Linked DNA regions of Caenorhabditis elegans. Changing the gene in region 2 together with the main gene of any one other region gives a genetic interaction. Each region holds a gene or a part of one and is shown on either strand. Other genes may lie near its edges.

The links.
Region 1: of lin-23 (region 2) and ubq-1, changing one suppresses a phenotype caused by changing the other (phenotypic suppression), as found in Caenorhabditis elegans (one study listed by BioGRID).

What each region holds. Positions count from the first base shown.
Region 1 is NC_003281.10:5,933,712-5,944,929, reverse strand, and holds ubq-1 (Ubiquitin-related), read right to left. Parts: upstream 3,945-11,218; 5' UTR 3,940-3,944; coding exon 3,573-3,939; intron 3,523-3,572; coding exon 3,067-3,522; intron 3,014-3,066; coding exon 2,330-3,013; intron 2,282-2,329; coding exon 1,598-2,281; intron 1,548-1,597; coding exon 1,222-1,547; 3' UTR 1,103-1,221; downstream 1-1,102. Other genes in the region: F25B5.5 (CDK5RAP1-like protein), read left to right, coding at 1-227, 272-425, 471-601, 645-794, 844-1,014; EGAP1.1 (uncharacterized protein), read left to right, coding at 7,710-7,903, 8,259-8,382, 8,426-8,659, 8,767-8,991, 9,038-9,181. UniProt on the Caenorhabditis elegans protein: Ubiquitin exists either covalently attached to another protein, or free (unanchored).
Region 2 is NC_003280.10:6,367,175-6,378,868, forward strand, and holds lin-23 (F-box domain-containing protein), read left to right. Parts: upstream 1-4,128; 5' UTR 4,129-4,138; coding exon 4,139-4,264; intron 4,265-4,382; coding exon 4,383-4,521; intron 4,522-4,574; coding exon 4,575-4,749; intron 4,750-4,802; coding exon 4,803-5,097; intron 5,098-5,144; coding exon 5,145-5,513; intron 5,514-5,648; coding exon 5,649-6,089; intron 6,090-6,238; coding exon 6,239-6,589; intron 6,590-6,630; coding exon 6,631-6,738; 3' UTR 6,739-7,376; downstream 7,377-11,694. Other genes in the region: Serine carboxypeptidase ctsa-4.1, read left to right, coding at 1-159, 205-545, 769-871, 915-1,061, 1,108-1,217, 1,329-1,410, 1,455-1,541, 1,588-1,675 and 1 more. UniProt on the Caenorhabditis elegans protein: Functions cell autonomously to negatively regulate cell cycle progression. Required to restrain cell proliferation in response to developmental cues. Probably recognizes and binds to some proteins and promotes their ubiquitination and degradation.

The DNA.
Region 1 (11,218 bases), on a different chromosome or scaffold from region 2:
TCACACTACTTGGACAAAATGTGAATAGCTATAGAGATATGACATCGATGGATTTCTCAATGGCTCCATCGACATCACAAGAGGACAGAGTTCCCGGTTTTAAGACTGTTTATAAACCAAAAAGTGGGGGCCTGACCTTTACAACATTGCTTGAAAAAGTCGCTGATGCAGCTCCAGATATCCGATTTCGGTTCACTTCCCCGCATCCAAAGGATTTCCCGATGCAGGTAACTTTTATGAAGCTTTAATTGATAATCATGATAACCTTCAGTTGATCGAGCTTATTGCATCCCGTCCAAATCTCTGCAAACAACTTCATCTTCCAGCACAAAGTGGAGATGATGAGACATTGGAACGGATGGAAAGAGGATACACAAGAGATCTGTATTTGAGATTAGTTGATGATATTAGACATGTTTTACCAAGTGAGTATGAATCACTCTTCAAACAAAACTTAATTATTTTATCAGGCGTCTCTCTGACAAGTGACTTCATTGCCGGATTCTGTGGAGAAACTGAACAAGCTCATCAGAACACACTTTCCCTCATTCGAGCCGTTCGTTATTCATTCTGCTTCGTTTTCCCCTACAGTATGCGTGGAGTGAGTCAGTTGCTGAAAATTGTTCCTATCAGATTATTTTCAGAAAACGCGAGCACATCATCGGTTAACAGACGATGTTCCAGAAGATGTAAAAGCAAGAAGACATTTAGATTTGACTACTGTATTTCGGGAAGAAGCATTGAAATTGAACCAAGCGCTTATCGGGTCGGAACAGACGGTTTTGTTGGAAGGAGTGAGTCATCTATAAACACCAATAAAATGAATTAAAATAATATTTTTAGAAGTCAAAAAGGGATGCATCATTTTCACATGGAAGGATCGATGGTGGTGTGAAAGCAGTGTTCGACAATTCGAAACTCTGTTTGGAACCTGGTCAATATGCAAAGATTCTGATCACCGACGCCAATTCGCAGACATTGAAAGCGCAACTCATAGGACAATCCAGCATCTGATCTATAAATATAGTTGAACCTTACACTTCATAGAGTAGTTATCTTTGTTGTTTGTTATTGTTAAAGATAAATCGTTTGAGTACACGAAAATGAATTTATTCAGAGCTCGTTCATTAAAATACAGAAATTCCCGAAGGAATAAAGAATAAATAATTGTTACTTGAACGGAGATCGAGGAGGAATAACGAGTGAATTGATGGGTTCGATTTAAATGTCTCCTCCGCGAAGACGAAGAACGAGATGAAGTGTCGACTCCTTTTGGATGTTGTAATCGGATAGAGTGCGTCCATCCTCGAGCTGCTTTCCAGCAAAGATCAAACGTTGCTGATCTGGTGGGATTCCCTCCTTATCCTGGATTTTGGCTTTGACATTCTCAATGGTGTCCGAAGCTTCGACCTCGAGAGTGATGGTTTTTCCAGTCAAAGTCTTGACGAAGATCTGCATACCTCCTCTGAGACGGAGCACCAAATGAAGAGTAGACTCCTTCTGGATATTGTAGTCCGAAAGGGTACGGCCATCCTCGAGTTGCTTTCCTGAAAAACAATAAAAATTAGTTTTAATTCTAAAAACAATATGAACTCACCAGCGAAAATAAGTCTCTGCTGATCTGGTGGAATTCCTTCCTTGTCTTGGATCTTGGCCTTGACATTTTCGATGGTGTCGGAGGCTTCGACTTCGAGGGTGATGGTCTTTCCGGTCAATGTCTTGACGAAGATCTGCATACCTCCTCTCAGACGGAGAACCAAATGAAGAGTAGACTCCTTTTGGATGTTGTAGTCGGAGAGGGTACGACCGTCTTCGAGTTGTTTTCCGGCGAAGATGAGTCTCTGCTGATCTGGTGGGATTCCTTCCTTGTCTTGAATCTTGGCCTTCACATTCTCGATGGTATCAGAGGCTTCGACTTCAAGTGTGATGGTCTTTCCAGTCAATGTCTTGACGAAGATCTGCATACCTCCTCTGAGACGGAGCACCAAATGGAGGGTTGATTCCTTCTGGATATTGTAGTCCGAAAGGGTACGGCCATCCTCGAGTTGCTTTCCGGCGAAGATCAAGCGTTGCTGATCTGGTGGGATACCTTCTTTGTCTTGGATCTTGGCCTTCACGTTCTCAATAGTGTCAGAAGCTTCCACCTCGAGCGTGATGGTCTTTCCTGTAAGAGTCTTGACGAAGATCTGCATTCCTCCTCGGAGACGGAGAACCAAGTGAAGAGTAGATTCCTTCTGAATGTTGTAATCAGAGAGCGTGCGCCCATCTTCCAATTGCTTTCCTGAAATAATAATAGTTGATTTGAGTTATGTATATCTATATAACGTACCGGCAAAGATAAGACGCTGCTGATCTGGTGGGATTCCTTCCTTGTCTTGGATCTTGGCCTTCACATTTTCGATGGTATCAGAGGCTTCGACTTCGAGGGTGATAGTCTTTCCAGTCAAAGTCTTCACGAAGATTTGCATACCTCCTCTCAAACGGAGAACCAAATGAAGAGTTGATTCCTTCTGGATGTTGTAGTCCGAAAGGGTGCGGCCGTCTTCGAGCTGCTTTCCAGCGAAGATGAGACGTTGCTGATCTGGAGGAATTCCTTCCTTGTCCTGAATCTTGGCCTTCACGTTCTCGATGGTATCGGAGGCTTCGACTTCGAGGGTGATGGTCTTTCCGATAAGAGTCTTGACGAAGATTTGCATTCCTCCTCGGAGACGGAGAACCAAATGAAGAGTAGACTCCTTTTGGATGTTGTAATCGGAGAGAGTACGGCCATCCTCGAGTTGCTTTCCGGCAAAGATCAAACGCTGTTGATCTGGTGGGATACCTTCCTTGTCTTGGATCTTGGCCTTCACGTTCTCAATAGTGTCAGAAGCTTCAACCTCAAGAGTAATAGTCTTTCCGGTCAAAGTCTTGACGAAGATCTGCATTCCTCCTCTTAGGCGGAGCACCAAATGGAGGGTTGATTCCTTCTGGATATTGTAGTCCGAAAGGGTACGGCCATCCTCGAGTTGCTTTCCTGAAAATATATAATAAATTTTAGGTCAAATATTAGATATTTTGCCAACGTACCAGCAAAAATAAGTCTCTGCTGATCTGGTGGAATTCCTTCCTTGTCTTGGATCTTGGCCTTGACATTTTCGATGGTGTCGGAGGCTTCGACTTCGAGGGTGATGGTCTTTCCGGTCAATGTCTTGACGAAGATCTGCATACCTCCTCTCAAACGGAGAACCAAATGAAGAGTTGATTCCTTCTGGATGTTGTAGTCCGAAAGGGTGCGGCCGTCCTCGAGCTGCTTTCCGGCGAAGATAAGTCTTTGCTGATCTGGTGGGATTCCTTCTTTATCTTGAATCTTAGCCTTGACATTTTCGATCGTGTCGGAAGCTTCGACTTCAAGTGTGATGGTCTTTCCAGTCAATGTCTTGACGAAGATCTGCATACCTCCTCTGAGGCGGAGCACCAAGTGGAGAGTAGACTCTTTCTGAATATTGTAATCAGAGAGTGTGCGTCCATCTTCCAATTGCTTTCCTGGAAAAAAATTAGTCTCTCATGAACAAAATTTGTTATATGTAACATACCAGCAAAGATAAGACGCTGCTGATCTGGTGGGATTCCCTCCTTGTCTTGAATCTTGGCCTTGACGTTCTCGATCGTGTCGGAAGCTTCAACTTCAAGTGTGATGGTCTTTCCAGTCAAAGTCTTGACAAAGATCTGCATTCCTCCTCTAAGACGAAGAACCAAGTGAAGAGTAGATTCCTTCTGGATGTTGTAGTCAGACAGGGTGCGGCCGTCCTCGAGCTGCTTTCCGGCGAAGATGAGACGCTGCTGATCTGGTGGAATTCCTTCCTTGTCTTGGATCTTGGCTTTGACATTTTCGATGGTATCGGAAGCCTCCACCTCCAGGGTGATAGTTTTTCCAGTCAACGTTTTGACGAAGATTTGCATGATTGCTGAAAAAATAGAAAATGAGTGCGAATAAAACTGGAATGAGGAGGCGAGAGAAGAGGTGATTATGAAAGAAAGTCCTAGAAAGTTGCGAAATATTACCCAAAAAATCGATACACTAGTAAGACTAACAAAGCAAACTTCATCCCCACTCGTCATAGGCAAGTCAAACGAAAAAAGAAAGGCATAAAAGTAAAATGGTAGTAAAGAGCTAATCGATGAGGAGTAATGTCCGAGTAGAGACAAGTGAAATGAGAATGGAGACAAGGTGGCACGCGAGCGGAGCGTTCTGGTCGAATGGGGTGTATGACTGCTGTATGCCCGCCTCAACGATCGATAAAACCCCCAACGCACGCGCACACTGACTCCGCCTTCCCCGAGTGTTGTTAGAGACGCAGATGTTCAGCTGATGTCCTCGTTTCTCTGACCGAAAATAACTACCAAGCAGTATTGCTAAAATGGGAAAATAATTCATATAACAACTGATTGAGATTATTCAAAAAAGCATGACATTTCTGTTGGTTTTACCCCGCTAAATCTTACAATTAGACAAAAAAAAAGAAACTCACCGTTTGGTAAACTGATTCTTGACAGTAATAAATTAAAGAGCGCCCAAAACGTGAATATTGAATCTACACGTTGAACTTTACTCAAACATTCTAATTAAACGACGCACGTATTATTGAAGGCCACAAAGTAAAAAATGTTGCTATGCTCACTTTCTGTTAGCAAGAAGTCGCCTATTACGAGAACCAGTGAGGAAGAGCAAGAGAAAGGAGGGGGGGGGGGGGGGTCGCTGACTCAAACGGCACTCTTTCTGCACAAGAAGAACATTCTAGAGTGCTGTGTAGGGAAAGAAATGATGAGGAAGAAGGGGACAATGTGTGCAGAGGGAATACAACGAAAATCGAACGGGGTGTTCTTTTTTCTCGTCATGCAACTGGGTCGACCAGTTTCTTTTCATCTTTAACTAAACGATAGAGAAATCATAGGCCTGAATAATAGTGACGTCTGTGTAAAGTATTGTTTCCATTTTTGTTACAGAAAATGATGAAACGAAGAATAGGAAAAGTGAACAGGGTCAGTTGTTCGTTTGACGCATATATAGGGAGAACATAAGAAAGAGCAGACGGTCAAGGACATTTTTTTATAATCTGCGACTAGCAGGAAAGTATGAATAATGTCCTAACGGCACCCGAACCAATTTTCAGACAGACGCGAAAGTGCTTGTACTTTGTACTGATGAACGAACGACAAAACAAGTGCAGTGAGAAAACGGGAGGACACTGGGGAGAATCATGTGAGCCCGTCATAAGACTAAAAGATGAGCTAGTGGCGATCAGGCGAAGGTTCAATACGACTATTGGGTCTTTTCAAGAGAGCCCCGGAAAACTAAATTTAAAAACATCAGTTAAGAGTACAACGAGAACAGGGAATGAGGAACGCACAGACTAAACATTAAAATTTTCCGATACTTTTCGAAAGTATTGCGAAATCAATAACAAAATACTTTGCTATGAGTTTTTTAAATGAAAACCGAAATAATGCAATTTTCTGAATGCTGGAAAGAGTGAAAAAGCGATACGAAAAAGCAGAGAGCAGCGAAAATAGCCGGCAACTCAAGATAATGAGAGAGCGCGAATGAATGAAGAAAATGATGGAAAGATCTGGAAAACAGAAACGAGCGGCAGAACGAATGCGAACGCGCCTTTCATGGTAGTGCGTGGCGGTTTCGTGGCGGGACCCAGGGAGGATTGCAGAACATGTTCCTTTAAATTAATTATTTATATTTTCATTGTAAATTTGTTTAAGAATACGAGAATTCTCGAATCCAGTTTGGAAAATATAATAAAAATTAAATGTTTTCAAAGAAAGATATCGAGACAGTTGCACATTAAACTTCCCGACAAAATCTATATTTAAATACGTTTTTCGAGTTTCTGATTTATTATGTGTCATGTTAAAATTGAAACATTACGCAATACTTTGAACTATGTTATTTATCATCAGAAAAAATTGACGTCTCATGAAAAATTAAAGCCTTGTGATCAAATTTCAAGGGTAACAAAAAATGATAATGACCAAAGCTTCATGTTTCTGATAAAATTTTATTGTATGGTCTTATAGGAGAAAATTGTACAATTCTCATTCTCCGGAAATTATTCCGAAGTGGAAGCTCACACTTGTTTTTGTTTTTCTCCATATCGAAATTTCACCGGGCTAAAATAGGAATGAGTGTTTGCGGAGGGTTGTCAAATTTGGTAGGAGGAAAACAAAATAGACGATAGGCGGAAATAAAGCACCTGGCAGTAACAGGTGCAGTGAAAGAAATAATGGAAACGATAGAAAAGTAAAGGTTTTATACAGCATTGACAAGCTGGATTCTTCTCGAAACTCGGGAATATCGCCACGTTGGAGAAAATCTAGTTTTTTTGTAAAGTTCTGTGGAAGCTTGAAAATGACTGCAAAGTTTTCAGAGAAACAAAGGAAAAATTGAAGTTTAAAGTTGTGTTCGAAAACGAAAATCGTGATTTATATCCTGCATTCTAACGAATAGCAATGAATAGTGATGATTTATTTCATCATCATTTTTCTCTTTTTAAGCCACGTCATAACTATTTGTATCTTCCTCACAATTGTTCAGTTAACTGAGAAACCTTTTAAAAAAGTATTATCAATTGAGAGATCACTGGCGCTTACTTGACGTGTGGCTATCTCGGTAGAAAACACGGAGAGACGCAAACATGTTTTTGGTGCGGAAAGTGCGGAAAAGAGGTGTTTGTTAAGTCGGCTGTGGGGAAACGAGAGGGAGACAGATACAATCTTGAAAAATTGACGACTATGATGATGATGATGCAAGCACGGAAATGGATGGTGGGGACTGGTTTGGAGAAAGCATCACGGGTCATGTGAGAGAAGAAAGATGCAAATAGGGAGGAAAGTGATGGAACGGGTAAGGGTTGAAGGGAAAAGGTATTATAAGTGTGGGGTTTTGAAAAATAGGGGATTGAAGGGATGTTTATAGGGTTAGAAAGATATTAGCATGTTGCAATTTTTTGCTTGCCACGATTTGGCAATATTTTCAACTTTCCAATGTGACCTAAAAAAAGATCTGGATCTTACAGCGAAGATTGTATACTTTTTATTCTGCGAACAAGAAACTTCATTCATTGCAAGACCAAACACAAAAGTTTATACGTCTTTAGTAGCGCCTATTACAACTTCGGAACTTGTTCAAAAATATTTTCGTGTCTGAAAATTGTAGAACTTTGAATATACAAAAATGCTACATGAATCTCCAAGTGTCCACGTTTTACCAAAAAAAATTGGCAATCTGCCAAAAAAAAAAGTCTGAAAATTTTGAAAAACCCTAAAACACATTAGAGTCCATATATCTACATAGTAATTTTTAAATTCATTATGAGTATATTTTGACAATATTCCAACTGTCGCTATTCCAACTTTAAAATAGTGTTCAGCTGAGAAAAGCGCATGAATTACAGTTATATATTCAATTGCGTTTTTGAAAAACCCGTTTTGCAACGTCGAAAAATTTAGGACCATTCTTGTTTTTTAACATTATCTAAAAAGCATTACAATCTCCAAAACACTCATACACACAAAAGTGTGCAGAAAAATATACGAAAAACCAATTTCCGCTCAAAAAGCCCAGTCACCCGTGACCTAAAAATCGTGAATTTAGTTTTTCATTTCCTTCCTAAATCCAACAAAATTTCGCAAGTCCCCTTCATCATCTCTTTTCAATAAAAATGCCCAATCGAACGAAATATTATGAAAAGCTGCGAGAGAAGCGTCGGCTGGCACGCGAACACGCGAAAAAAGTTCAAGAGGAGCGAGCAAGATCACGAGAAATGAAAGAAGAAAAATGGACAACACGAAATGAGTTTGATCTGATTTCTGAGCATCGACAGCTTCAGAGAAAGGCTTATATTGAAAAGATTAGGTAGGGAATTACTATTTGCCTGCCTACCGTCTATTTTCACGTGTTAATTTAGTTACCGTACTTCACTTATTAGTAGGGTGAGTTAATTTTTCAAAAAAATGGCAATAGTCAGGCGTGTAGACAAGAAGTACTTACATTTTTAGGAAGATTAAAGGTACACAAATTTGGAACATTAAAAAAACAAGAAAATTAAAAAATAAATTATTGGGTTTATTTTTTGAATCAAATTGTTTAAAACTAAAATATACTTCGAATTCAAAAGACCATCGTCTCCACATTTTTCTAGAAAACACTTTCTAAAATAATTGTTTTTTTTTAAAATTTTACTTTTAATAAAGTGTAAAAGTCTCTTTAGAAAAGAAAGTCAAGCAATGCTAGAAATGGCAGTGGCACGCGTGAAAGCTCACGAGAAACGGGAAAATATGTTGAAACAGGAAATTGAAGAAGAAGTGGAAACTGTGAGAACTTTCATTACTGAGGTATTCATTTCTGTCAAATGTCATCTGTGTGAAACTCTTGCAGCAATGCGAATACTACGCTGACATTCATCAACAAATATCTCCACCGAAAGAACGAAGTGTGGATCAGATTGTTGGAGAAATCGAAACAGAACTCAAAGAAGTTGTAGTTATTCAAAATTTGAACATTTATATTGAAATGTTTCAGATCTATGAGATATTTTCAAGTGTGTTTAATTTTGACCCAAAGATGCCAGAAAATGTGGGCGTAAAGGAAGACGACGATAAGGTTTTTGCTGTAAGTTGTGAGATTAATAGAAGTTCTATTTGAAGGCTTGGCGTATTGTCTTATGGCATAAGTATAGGGTATCGTAATAAGCTGATCCAGTATATTTTCTGTTTCAGAAGGAAATTGCTCAATTGGAAGAAGAATTTGAAGCTAACACTTTGAAAGCTGAAAGCCTCGAAAAAGAAATCGCTTATTCAAAAGTACAAATTGAAACCGAAAATGTTAAATTCGCGGCAATTGAACAAGAAAAAGCAATCGAAATTATCAAATTGGAGAAGCAAATAAAGATAATGGAGGCAAAATTAGACTTTATGAAACAAGATCCAATTGAGATTGAAGAGGTATTAGAAGAGTCGTGGGAAAAACTAGATTTATTAATTTTTTCAGATTGAAAAGCTGAAACACCGTGTGGAAGAAGAGACGCAAAGAAATACGGAATATGCAGAATCATTAAAGTATATCAAAGAAATGATAAGGATTAAAAAGGCAGAAAAAAATGAAAAGAAACAGAAAAATGCAATTGATAATTAAAATTGGAAACTTGTTTTTTAACAATCAATTTTATGTAAAAATAAAAGTACTCATTGAAATTGGAAGAAACTCAAATTGAAAAAAAAAACATTTGTTTTGATGCGGCAAAAATAGAAATTACAAAAAAATTCACTGTGTTGTTCGAGTTACAATTTCTTGAATCTAGCTATATGTAGTTTTTTTTAGAGTTCCACGAACAATGACATTACACAATGATTATTATTATTGTGTCACTCGATGAAAGCCAAGTTCAAAAATATTTAATTTCTTTCGGAAAAGCTGTCATAAAACCTTTGGCTATTTTATTCCCGGGTGCCACGATAAAAACTCAATGTGCCATCATCATTGCCCGACTATTTTTATGTAAGTTTATGCGCCCCTCGAGAGAAAGATGTATTTCGTAACCCATTTCAAAAGAAGGACGGCTCGTTGAACAGAATACACAGATTTCTGTTCCAATTGGAGATTTTTCCTTTTCTGTATTGATCATCAAAGTATTCGAGTACGTTTACACTGGTTTCTGTTCTTTCCGTTTTTAATTTCTCCTGCCAGATGCAAACTGATTCATGTGTACGTATTGCTTGAAAAAAAGAGTAACAAGAAAAAGTAGAAGGGTATTAGTCGTAGTAGTAGTATTCAGTTGTAGTAATATATATTTCTACTAATTTGTTTAGTTTCGCCACTTAAGATGGTCATCGCAATTTTCAATTAATTTTTTGGTGGACTTTTCAGAAGAGAAAACGTCGAAATATTTTATGAATGGAAAATGTGACAGTTTTTTTTGCATATTGGCCATTTTCTAGTAGGTTTGAAAAACTACTATGGTAAATTACCAAAAGTTGCAACTTGTTGCGACGGTTTTGTTGTTCTTGTTATTCCTTTTTCAGCTTCTCCTCTTTCAAAAATTGTCTGAAACAAAAAGCACATGAAATTTTGTTTAATCCGTTAAAAACCTAAGTTACAGTAACCAAGCACTCGTTATCAATATCAAAATATTGGAAAGTCGATAAACATAATGAGTTTTTTTTTGTAATATAACATGAGTAATTACAAAATTGACTTTTTTAAAAATCTGATTTGCCACGGATAGTTTCAGCCCGTTTGACCTAGTACACGAGATAACTGGAAATTCTTGTTAAATATCTTTATTACGTAATAATTTTTGGAAAGTCATGTTTTGACGTGTTTCAAATAAGATGACAATGATGCAGTACTAGGAAAAAATTGTCTTCATATTCTATGCATAATGACTTTTTACAGCATTTTTAAAAGATGAAAATACGTTTGAAAAATGCAATAAAATTTACATAAATTGGTTTCCGCTTTTCCTCTCCTATCTAACAATACTTTTACCTTCTTTTCCTTTCAATCTCACTCCGTTCCTTTCATCTTTTTTTCTGACACTCTCGTCTCTTTTTTGATCCCAACTGACCATTCTCTTTTTTTGAAAAATAAAATGTGGTCGTAGGAGACATTAGACATCATTTCGTGTAATGTGTAACTGAGAGCAAGAAGGAGGTTAAATTGAGGAAAAAAAAATAGATAGTGAGTGTTTTCCCATCGTTTAGATGGATAATGAGTTTGATGAGCACACTCATCACAAAACCGCTAGAATTACAATTGAGACATTATGTGAAGCACAGGTCACTTCGTTATTCCTTGTGTCATTTTTGTAGTTTTCTGTTTTTTTTTGTTGCAAAATTTTGGCATCATCTGGTGAATGTGTCATTTTTTTAAAACTAGATTGTGAAGTTACTTTAACTTTCTCTTTATAAATTGTTCTTCAAAGACTGCATAACCCACTAAAATATTCTTCAAAATATGTAGCTTGTGAGTTTCTTAGAGTCATGTTATAAAACATATGCTACCTTCACCAGCATACGATGACTGTAAATTTAGAAATAAATTTGTTTTCTCAAAAGTGATATTATGACATTTGGCATTATATTAACGGTTTTAAATGGTTTCCCTACCTAATATGTGATTCAATACTCCAATTTCTCGAAACCTTTACCATACTCTTATTAATTTTATCAG
Region 2 (11,694 bases):
ACCGAATCATCTAGAGCTCCAACTCAGGATCCCCTAGTTCTATGGCTCAATGGAGGACCGGGATGTTCTAGTTTAGATGGGTTAATTGAAGAATTGGGACCATTTCATGTAAAGGATTTTGGAAACTCTATATACTACAACGAGTACGCCTGGAACAAAGTAGAATTCCACTTTTAATATTGTATGAGAAAGTAACAATTTCAGTTTGCAAATGTCTTATTCCTGGAATCTCCAGCAGGCGTTGGATATTCTTATTCAACAAATTTCAATTTGACAGTTTCTGATGATGAAGTATCTCTACATAATTACATGGCTCTTCTTGATTTTCTATCCAAATTCCCAGAATATAAGGGTCGTGATTTCTGGATCACAGGAGAATCGTATGCAGGAGTTTATATTCCAACTCTGGCCGTACGTATTTTGAATGACAAGAAAAACTTCCCAAATTTCAAAGGAGTGGCGATTGGTAATGGAGCCTTGAATTTTCCAAATAACTATAATACTATGGTTCCATTTTACTATTACCATGCTTTAGTTCGTGACGAGTAAGTTGGTTTATAATTAATCTAGATATTGTACGTTGGTTTGCAATAAGTTGAAGCATAGTCCTATAAAAATTGACTTCAACGTTTATTGAATAATCTTCAAAAATTGGCACCGCGAGTGATGAGATCGTGACAAGACCTAACGGAAATTGCCACATTTTGATAACTTTCCTTCTACCTGATTTTTCAAATGATACTTCTTCATAATTGTATATTTTTTCAGTTTATACAATGACATTGCAAGAAATTGTTGCAATAACAACATTGGAACATGTGACATCTACAGCAAATTCTTTGATCCAAATTGTAGAGACAAAGTTATCAATGTAAGTTGGAAACAGTTTCTCTCAAAAATGTTTTAAATTTCAGGCACTAGATGGTACTAATGAGCTTAATATGTACAACTTGTATGATGTTTGTTATTACAATCCAACCACAAATCTCAAAAAAGCTTTTATCGAAAGACAAATGAGAATAGCCGTCGGATTACCAGCAAGAAAACATAATGCAGCTACCGTAATACTAGATTTCAGAAACTACTATAATTTCAAAATACTTTCAGACAGTTCCGCTTTGTGCTCAAACCAATAATACACATGTTTATTTGAATAGAGCGGATGTTCGGAAAAGTTTGCACATTCCAAGTTCTCTTCCAGCATGGGAAGAGTGTAGGTTGGTTTTTGTGGGGTCTATGTCTTCTCGGTATTACCTGGAGGAAAGTTTGCTAGAATATTGCGTAGTGTCATCTTACAATTAATTAATCCTAATTGTTTTCTCTTACAGCGACCAAGTTGGAAAGAATTATGTAGTAACACATTTCAATGTGATTCCCGAATTTCAGACAATGATTGCTGCAGGAATTAAAGTTTGAATATTTCAAATTAATTTCAAGTATTTAGAATTGTTTAGATTCTTGTCTACAATGGAGATGTGGACACTGCTTGTAATTCAATCATGAATCAACAGTTTTTGACATCACTCAACCTGACAGTTCTTGTTAGTTTCTCTTGTCTTTATTTTATATTTAACTTTTATTTTTTAGGGAGAACAGGAGAAAGTGAACGAGGCTTGGCACTACTCCGGCCAGACTGGAACTGCAGTAGCTGGGTTTCAGACCAAGTTCGCCGGAAGTTTGTTGCCTTTAATATCATTTTAAACCTACATAACCATTTACAGATGTTGATTTTTTGACCGTTCGTGGAAGTGGCCACTTTGTGCCTGAAGACAAACCTAAGGAATCGCAGCAAATGATTTTTAATTTTATCAATAATAAGGACTATTCTACTCCTATTCAACTTTGATCATTGACTGTGATTTATTAATTTTTGGAGAAGTTTCTATTTAAGGCAATAAAAAGAAAATTGAGTTACTTAAAAGTAGCGAAAATCTGGGAAATATTTTTAAATGAATCCAAATTTGCCTCTGATTCCGAATATATATGTGAAAAAATTCAAAAAATCTTCATTGATTTCACTACTCCATCTTTAAACTACAAAACTTAATAAATTCTAATTTTTGGTAATTTGGCAGTTTACCAAAAAGTTTGGCTGAATTTTTTTTGAGTGTTTTGTTATGGTACAGAAATACGTTTCATGTTTTTTTTTCAAAATGATTTACAAAAAAACTTCAAATTTCTAATTGTTCCTTGCCAATTGTACTAATGTTGACCTTTAGTATGCACCAATGATAACTGGATATTCTGTTTTTGGCAGATAGATATATTTGAATTTCAGATGAGTCTAATGAATAATAAATACCACGAACCTAGCCATCATTCGTGTTTTTATTTAACCAATAGAAGCACCCATCGAAGAAATAAAGGGTATAATGATTTTTCAATGAACCTGTTCAACATCCTAATGTCTTTTGTCTTGCAACAGAAGTTGACAGAAATTATGTGGTATTACGTTTAAGTGTAATTCTCAAATTTCAATGTATGGTATCAGCTAATTTAAAAGTTTGGATATTTCAAATTTAGTACAAAACTTAGAAAGTTTCAGATTCTATACTAAAAACAATTTTTTCAGAATTGTGAATTCCTTGAAAGTGTAATATACATGTAATAGAATAAATTATGTTTATGGGATACGTTTTGCAAATTTTTATTATAAGTGGTTTCGAATTTATCCGATTTCTGAAGCACAATAGGTCTTGCCACGAACAAAAAACTTTGAAGCAGATGTTGCACAAAAAGGTGTGCGCCTTTAAAGTTTACAGTACTCTCACTGTCCTCTTTCTGATGTATTTACTTGCGTCTGAAATCCTGAAATAAAAACCGCTAGACCAACGAAAACAAGATTTTTCAAACGAACACAAAACAGACGGAAAAGAAGGTAGGTTGAAAAAGAACGAGAGATATGTCAATCTAAATGTGTAATAATATCTCGAATTTCGGGTCTGAAAATCAAAAGTCGAGCTGAAAATGTGATCAGCAGACAGAGGGAGGTAGTATTAGAGTGCACGGGGTGCAGAAAAAGTACGAGAAATACCCTTTCCCACACTGTTTTCTCTTGCTTTCTCCGCTTTTCGCTAGTTTTAAAGGTGAACAGAATCCAGTTGGATTGGGCTAGACATCACATAAAATGCGGAGATTTAGAGAAGGCAAGCGCGCCCTAAAGCAAAGAGGGCGTGCACGAGACGGCGGGTCGATTCAAGCTCTAACTGTCTGCGTCTCCACTATTGAAAGGTGCTTCACCGCTGTCTCTAATCCGATTTTCTTTCTCTTTTCTACCTTCTTTTCTGTCTTTTCTTTTTTGTTTCCTTCTCGTAACACTCAAATCTTCCTTTCGTATAGTCGTTCGTTTTCATCGTTTTCCGTTAGTTGTGTATTTTCAGGAAAACCTGAGATATTTTCAATTTCCGAACGTTTGTTCTCGTTTAATGCCCAACCGCATCATAAAAACGTTAAATATGTTTCTCCCAAATGGAGAAAAGAGCAAATTTATGATTGAAAAACTAAAAAAAAGTCATGACTAAATAGTTATTATGCTCATCGAAAAATTTGCCAGTTTAAATGCTATTTTATCGATTTTCTGAAATGCCCTGAAATCTTTGATTAAAATCACTATTTTGATTCTCTATCGAGACATATAAAAGATTCTTGATTTATTTTTTAAAATAAGTTGAAATTATAAACACAAATTTGACGATAAACACCAAAATGTGCGTTACCTTTTCATTTGCAATACATATTATTTAATAAGTTTTTTAAATGTCAATCTTCAAATATTGTGTTGTTAAATTCAAACTCCCAGATGTTTTATTTGCTATTTTCAGCTGAAATTCAGATATTCCTATAACAATTTATTTTTCTATTTGGATTAACCAGTTCACTGATTCTGTAAAAGATTACGAAATCAAGAGAATTCTCGAAACAAAAAATTCATTGCAACGTTGATACAATTTCATCTTCGGAACATTTTCCCTTTAATTTCCTTTAAATTTCGATGATACTGATTAACTCACCTGATTATATGAGATCTTTCCGACTTTAAATTGATTTTTACACAAAAACATTGTTCTCTAAATATCGACATATTTTTATCTTCTAATCAATCAACACTCAATAATATCCATTTAATTCAGGACATTAAATGTCTTCACCGCACCGAGCTTCAACAACTCAGCAGCTGGCGGACTTATCGTTGACGGAAGGTGAACACGATGAGGGCAAACCGCTTTCTATTGACTACCTTCAAGGGCACGAAGGCCTGATCGAGGTAAGGAAAACGAGATTTCCCGTCATTCTAGCGCCATCATAATGTCGTTTTGATTTTTTTTTTTTTTTTTTTTTTGATTTTTCCCAAATCTTTCTTCAACTATCATCACCTTTTTCAGGAAGTATTAAAATGGAGTGAACACGAACAGCTCGATTTTATGGACAAAATTGTTCATCGATTATCACATTATCAGTTGGGAAAAGTCGACAACTTTATCAGGCCCATGCTCCAGAGAGATTTCATTAGTAATTTACCAGGTAAAATTTTTGTCTGTTCAGTATTAAACTAATCTAATTCTATTTTATTTCAGCACATCTTGTCGAATTAATTCTGTTTAATGTAAACTCGGATTCATTAAAATCTTGCGAAGAAGTGAGCACAAGCTGGCGATGTGCACTCGCCCGTGGTCAACATTGGAAGAAATTGATTGAAAAGAATGTTCGAAGTGATTCCCTGTGGTGGGGACTTTCTGAAAAAAGACAATGGTTAGTTGATGATTTAGTTTATCAGAAAATAGGAATAAAATACTTGATTTCAGGGACAAATTCCTGAATATCAGTCGAGACATGTCAGTGCGACGAATCTGTGAAAAATTCAACTACGATGTGAATATTAAACGGGATAAGCTTGATCAGCTCATTTTAATGCATGTCTTCTACAGTAAATTATATCCAAAAATCATTCGAGATATTCATAACATTGACAACAACTGGAAACGTGGAAACTACAAAATGACTCGAATAAATTGTCAATCAGAAAATAGCAAAGGAGTATATTGCCTTCAATATGACGATGACAAAATTGTATCTGGTTTGAGGGACAACACTATTAAAGTCAGAATGATATTATTTTGATTTCAAAATAACTCTGATATTTTTAGATTTGGGATAGAAAAGACTACAGCTGCAGTCGAATTCTTTCTGGACATACTGGTTCCGTTTTATGCCTTCAATATGACAATCGTGTAATAATTTCTGGATCTTCTGATGCCACAGTACGTGTCTGGGATGTCGAAACTGGAGAGTGCATTAAAACGTTAATTCATCATTGTGAAGCTGTTCTTCATCTTCGATTTGCTAATGGAATAATGGTAACATGCTCAAAAGATAGATCGATTGCTGTCTGGGATATGGTTTCGCCACGCGATATCACAATTCGAAGAGTTCTTGTTGGTCATAGAGCAGCTGTAAATGTCGTTGATTTTGATGATAGATATATAGTCAGTGCAAGTGGAGACCGAACTATTAAGGTGAGAATTTGAAATTAAAAAACTGCTTTTCCAGTTATTAAGAAGCTTTTTTTTTAATTTAAAGGTGTACTTATCGTTTGAGTCTCGTTTACTATTCTTGCGGTTCTGAAAATATTAATTTTTTTCAATATTCAGGTCTGGTCAATGGATACACTCGAGTTTGTTCGAACATTGGCTGGCCATCGACGAGGAATTGCATGTCTTCAATATCGTGGACGGCTCGTTGTTTCTGGATCCAGTGATAACACGATTCGACTATGGGATATTCATTCTGGTGTATGCCTACGTGTTCTTGAAGGCCATGAAGAGCTCGTGCGATGCATTCGATTTGACGAAAAACGAATTGTCTCCGGAGCATACGACGGAAAGATTAAAGTATGGGATCTTCAAGCTGCTCTAGATCCTCGTGCATTATCTTCGGAAATATGCCTCTGCTCATTAGTTCAACATACTGGCAGAGTGTTCCGCCTGCAGTTTGATGATTTCCAAATTGTTTCCTCTTCACATGATGACACTATTCTCATTTGGGACTTTTTGGACGCTCCACCCAGTGGGCTTCCGTCTTCAACAAACAGAGTAAGTACAACATCTGGATCAAATCTGTTAATTGAGAAATGGCAGTACATTTGATAGTCTTCAAAATTCGCAAATACACTTTGAAGAAAAAAAAGTGCTTGCAAATTTGTAGTCAGTTTCTTTTCCGTGATTCATATTTATTTTTCTAGGCCACCCTCCCAGAACTTCCAAACCAAGCTGCTGTCGCTCGAGCTCAAATGCTTTTTGAAATGGCTGCTCGACGAGAAATTGAGCGACGAGATAGAGAAGTTGTGGAAGAACCTGCACTGAGGCCACGTGCCAATGCTGCTCGTCGACACAATGCCGATATTGCAGCAGCTGCAGCAGCGGCGGAAGCTGCTAGAGGTGCCGGGGACAATGATGAATCGTCATCAGAGGAAGATCTGGACAGAGTTGATCAGGTTAATAATCCGAACGTGGCTGGACCAGCGCCACCGCAACCACACAATCAGAATCATAGAAGGAGGCAACCAAGACCAGAATTGCCTGTCAGACTTATGGTAAAATTGAAAATTGAATGATGAGACTAAAGATTGACAAGTTTCAGCAAGAAATGGCTGCTTTTGACAATATGCGCCGACAACAAAATAATATGGATCACCTGGGCGGAGGCGACGTAGACGAAGAGATGCCAGATGGTGGCCCATAAAATCTACACTCCTTCCCATTTTTTTTTGAATTTTTACTGATCTTCAACCGGTGCAGAAATCAACCAAACCCTCTGTAATCTTCCTTGTCATTTTCCAAAAAAGAAAGTTGAAATTCCTTTGTACAGTATCCTTTTGCATCCCCTTCCCAACTTTTCCTCTCACTATTAACTGATCTGATTTCATGTGATAATAGTGTGTGTGTGTGTCTCTGCATTCTATTCATCTTTTCTCAATCGACATATTGGAATATCGCACGCACAACCCCTTTCTTTCTTGTTTTTGTAACCGCATTCGAGTCCTGGTTTTTCTGAAACTATTTTTTTAATACTTCAATTTTCAAAGTCGCATGCTTTGCGGGTGCCCATTCATCCACTCTCACCATTTTATTTTGTTTTTCATCCCTCTTCCCATTTCTCAACGGTTTTTCTTCTACGGCGACGATTCTAAATGCTTCTATCCCCCGCTTTCCTCACCCGCACATTTTCAATCGCTTCACACAAATCTGTTTCAAATAATCGTTTTCGTTCCTAATTTTTCTCCCCTTCCATTGCCTCCAATTCCAAATTTCTTTTATTCGCTCGGAAAATTGTGTTCTGTATAGTTCGAAATGATATAAACAAATTTGGGTTTTGCTACTCCACAATCTGCCATTCCATCTTTTTTTCTAAATTAGAGTTTCTCATTATCATTCTTCTGTCACTTCCTGTCTTTCCTACGTCATTGTCACTGACAACTTTGCAGAACCGATTTGAGCATTTCTGCAACTTTCTTCTATTACATCTCTACGTCCCCATTCTTATCACACTATTTATTTAGTCATGTGACAAGAGTGATAATGAGAAAATAATTAACCTTCCACTGAATCCCAGTTTTGTAGTAGAAAAAAGTCAAAAGTTATAATCGATAAGCATGCAAAATCAAGTCATGCGACAGTTAAATGACAACATATCGATTAGATATTTCACAAGAAAGTTTACGGAATTTTCCATATTTCAATTGCAATTCGATCAAAAATGTGACAGCTCAAGTGTTTGGCAGATCAAGTGTTTGGCAGATGGGTGGTGTCACATTTTAATGCCAAAACTAATATTTCTCCTCTGCAAAAGCAAAAAAGCGGTAAGTTTGAACCCGAAGTGTGGCAAAAAAAGTTCAATTTGGCACACACCTTTGAGTTCTTATCAATTTCCGGAGAGGTTAGAATGGGATTATTGTAAAGTTCACGAATTGTCGGAGATTGGAATGTTTCACAACTATTTTCATAGTGGACACACTATGTAGGATGACTATAGATTTTTGATTTAATACGAATTCGCGAAGCAATCAAAAAACGAGTACAACACATTGAAACCTAGACGATGACAAGTTACAGTACCCTTTTCAATTGGTTTAGGAAGCGATTCAGCAGTAAATGTGATTTTTTTCTGTTTCAAATGAATACCTGGTTTTCGTGGATAGTATAAATATTTGTATTGTTATTCGAGACAGTTTATATAGTTGTTCACCCAATCATCGTTTGCATTAAGTTGTCAATACTCTAGAATTAACTATGATGAGCCAAATAACGATGCTCACTATTTTTTGCCTTCTGAATAAAAATAAATCATGTTGAGTGTAATTGAAAGTTCGAAACGTTCTACTACTGTAATTCAATTGAAATGTAAAATTAAAGATGACCTGATTTCATTTTGAATACCACACAAAACTCTACTTTTTAAGCGCAAATAAAAGTTTTTATACACATTTTTGAAGGATATAAAATTTTTTTTTTCGGTAAATATCAATTTTATTTCATAGTGTATTTCATTCTAAAACTAAAACAATGTAATTTTGTACTTTTTCGTGTAGACAGGAACTTTCTTGTGATTGTAGCTATGATCGTAGTTTTGTGTCAGAAACCACAAACCCCCCAGAATGTAGGCTATTTTATTAGGTGCAACTTTTTGAAGTAATCAAACATCTAATAAACATCAAATCCACCCTCACTCAAATGCCAGTTTCTTTCTGATCTCTAGAATTTTCAGTTGAATTTTGAATTAGTTTCAATGAGTTATTTAATGTTTTTTTTTTGGAAAACAACCAGTCAAGTTCCTTTTCGACAATATTTGGATGCAGAATTTCTGATGAGGAATCGAGTCTGATGAATTTTAAATTGAAGTTGATAAGCTGAAAGTTAATAATCAATGAACTGAAATAGGTTACCGAAATAGAAATATTCGAAATCTTATTTACTTGGAAGACATGAAAATTTCAACTCACGAATCATTTTCGAACTGAATATTTAAATATGTGAATCTCAATTCAAAATGACTTGTTTTCAAAAACATTAAGCTTATTTTCAGAGATTTCTCGATGGCTTCATTAAGCATTGTCTGATTATTCATGTCCTTTTAACGCGTTATTTGTTGAATAAACAGCTGACTATTTTTTTCATACAACAATGTTTCCTGTTAACTGCAAATGATGAATGAGAGGACGTCACAACAAGAAGCATGAAAGTGATAATCGGAAAAAGCAATGATTAATGCGCCAGGTGGCAGAAAGGGTAAAGATTGGAAATGAGAACGAGAGTTGGAAAATCAAAAGATAAATCAGGAACGACGATGATTTTAAAACGTGTTGCAATTTCCTTTACCTGTAATCAAAATATGGGAGGTCAAATAGAAATGATTGATCTTTTTATGATATGAGAAGATAAAATATTGCAAGACGACTTGGCAAGATTGAGATGTTCTGCCTTGAACTTGTGTTCTGTTATATTGCAAAGGTTATACGTGAAACGACCTAGTCGTAGGAAACATTTCAGGTAGCACTCTCAGAAATATTCCAGTTAAAAATTTTTTGGCAACAGTGATCTAAATCATTATCCTAATTGCCGAGATCTAATCATTATCCTAATTGCCAATACTTATGTTAAGTTGAATTTAATCCAGCTGGAAATCAGTTGAAGCTAGACTTAATCAGAATATGGTATAGTTGCAGGTTCATAACTGGTTGTAGGCTTATCCAGCTTACCTCTTAAAATTAAGTTCCAGTAAAGAAAACGTGAAGAAAACACATTTTAGGGCAGGGACTACAGTAGTTAATCTACGAATCTAGGTTATAACTATAGTACGACTTCTGCCCATTGTTACAATTTTATATGAAAATTGTGGATCAATTGAACTTTTTGAAAATTCATTTCTTCTTTGTTAAAAATATTCGATTAGAGGCCAAAACTTCGAGTTTTCATAATTTCCCATCAACTCGTACTTTTTAAACAACTTAAAAAATTCCAAAATGCGATTCATGCTTGTGACAATGTTTGGATAAGACGAATTTTCAGTGCAGATAATATGTGACTAAATACAAGTCTGCAGGTACTTGACTCTTCAAAAATATTAGTGCTGTATTGTACTTCATATATTAACACTTCACTTACAAACACATTTCCAGCACATTGCAATGAAACTGAAAATTTCGTAAGAAATTGATTTTCCATATCTTATGACATTTTTTCCCGCAGTGCTCATGACATTTGTTTACCGAAACAACAACTTCCTTTTATTCTTTGTACCAGCCCTCCCAGTTTAGCGTATTAGTTTCTCTAATTATCATTTACTATTGTATTTTAATGCTCTTCTTTTTCTTTTTCTTTCCTCACACTCCCATCATCCAATCATCTGACTCTCGTCCTTCTCAGCTGCTTTTTTCTGCCAATAAGATAAGTAGAGAGAGGGAGACAACACAGTTCATAATTTCACAGAAGTTGAAGAAAATGAGATGGCAACGGTAAAAAGTTGTGTATTTGTTTCCGAATAAAATGCTGAAAAATAGATAAATGAATGTGATGAATGATGCAGACTCCGCATGAGGTTACTGATAACATAAAAATGAAAGTGAATGAAGGAGCTGTTAAAAATGAGAGTGATGATGGATGATCAGCGGGAAAACGAAACGAACGTAACTGGCACCTAGTGACACGAAACGTATTTTATCAAAAAAGGTTTCAATTGAACGAATGTTCAAATGAACTCTTGATTAGTTTATTTTTTCCGATGGTACAATGTGTTTAGTGATTAACAATCAAAAAGGCCGATGAGTTGGCAGTAAGCTACTAGAATGCGGAACGCCCTACTGACACTTAACAACCATAATATCTATACGCAAAAAGTACGGTAGCTCCGAACTCAAAATTTATTGAACCTTTTTTAAACTGAAAATTTTTGAGGGCATTAAATTCGATATTTCTGATCTTACAAAAAATTTTCCTATTTGCTATTTAGAATTGTATGAATGTTTTCGCAGTTTTTGGCATAATCCATTTTAAAATTTAATTGCAAAAAAATCTGTGTCTCGTAAGCACATTAAGACTTTAATTATTTCATTGCCACTTAAGCTTCCAATTTTCAAAATCATGTTCAATTTAAATTAATTTGAAATTAAATCAAATTAAGAAGCGTTACAAAATATATAGTTTCTCTAAAGGACTAAAACAATCAAATATCATAAAAAGACCTTTCAAAAAATTTAATGAAAATTTTTTATGGCAGTTTGAAATTTTTTAGAAAGAAGGGAAAAATTACGGAATAAAGTTTCCAGATACACCGTTACTATTGTTTTAATAAACATGCCAAGCTTTTTTGTTATTAACTTTTCCAAATCGCTATAGTGATTTATAAGTAAAATGTGATTTTTCTTGACATCTTGAAGATTCAGTTTTTAATTTAAAAAAATTCCCAGGAGTCTTCAAAATTTTAAATCTAACATTTAGAATTTGAAATGCGAAAAATGTCGTGAGAACTCCTGCAACCTGATTACAACGTTTTTTCGTGATATTTGGATACAGAGCACTTTAAAGGTCACCAACTTCATCGTTGCAAATCTAAAACATTCTCATGAATGATTCAGAAAAACGAATCTTTGACTGGAAGACCTCTGGTAGATTCCGACCTTTTGCTATAATCTTATGATCGAAT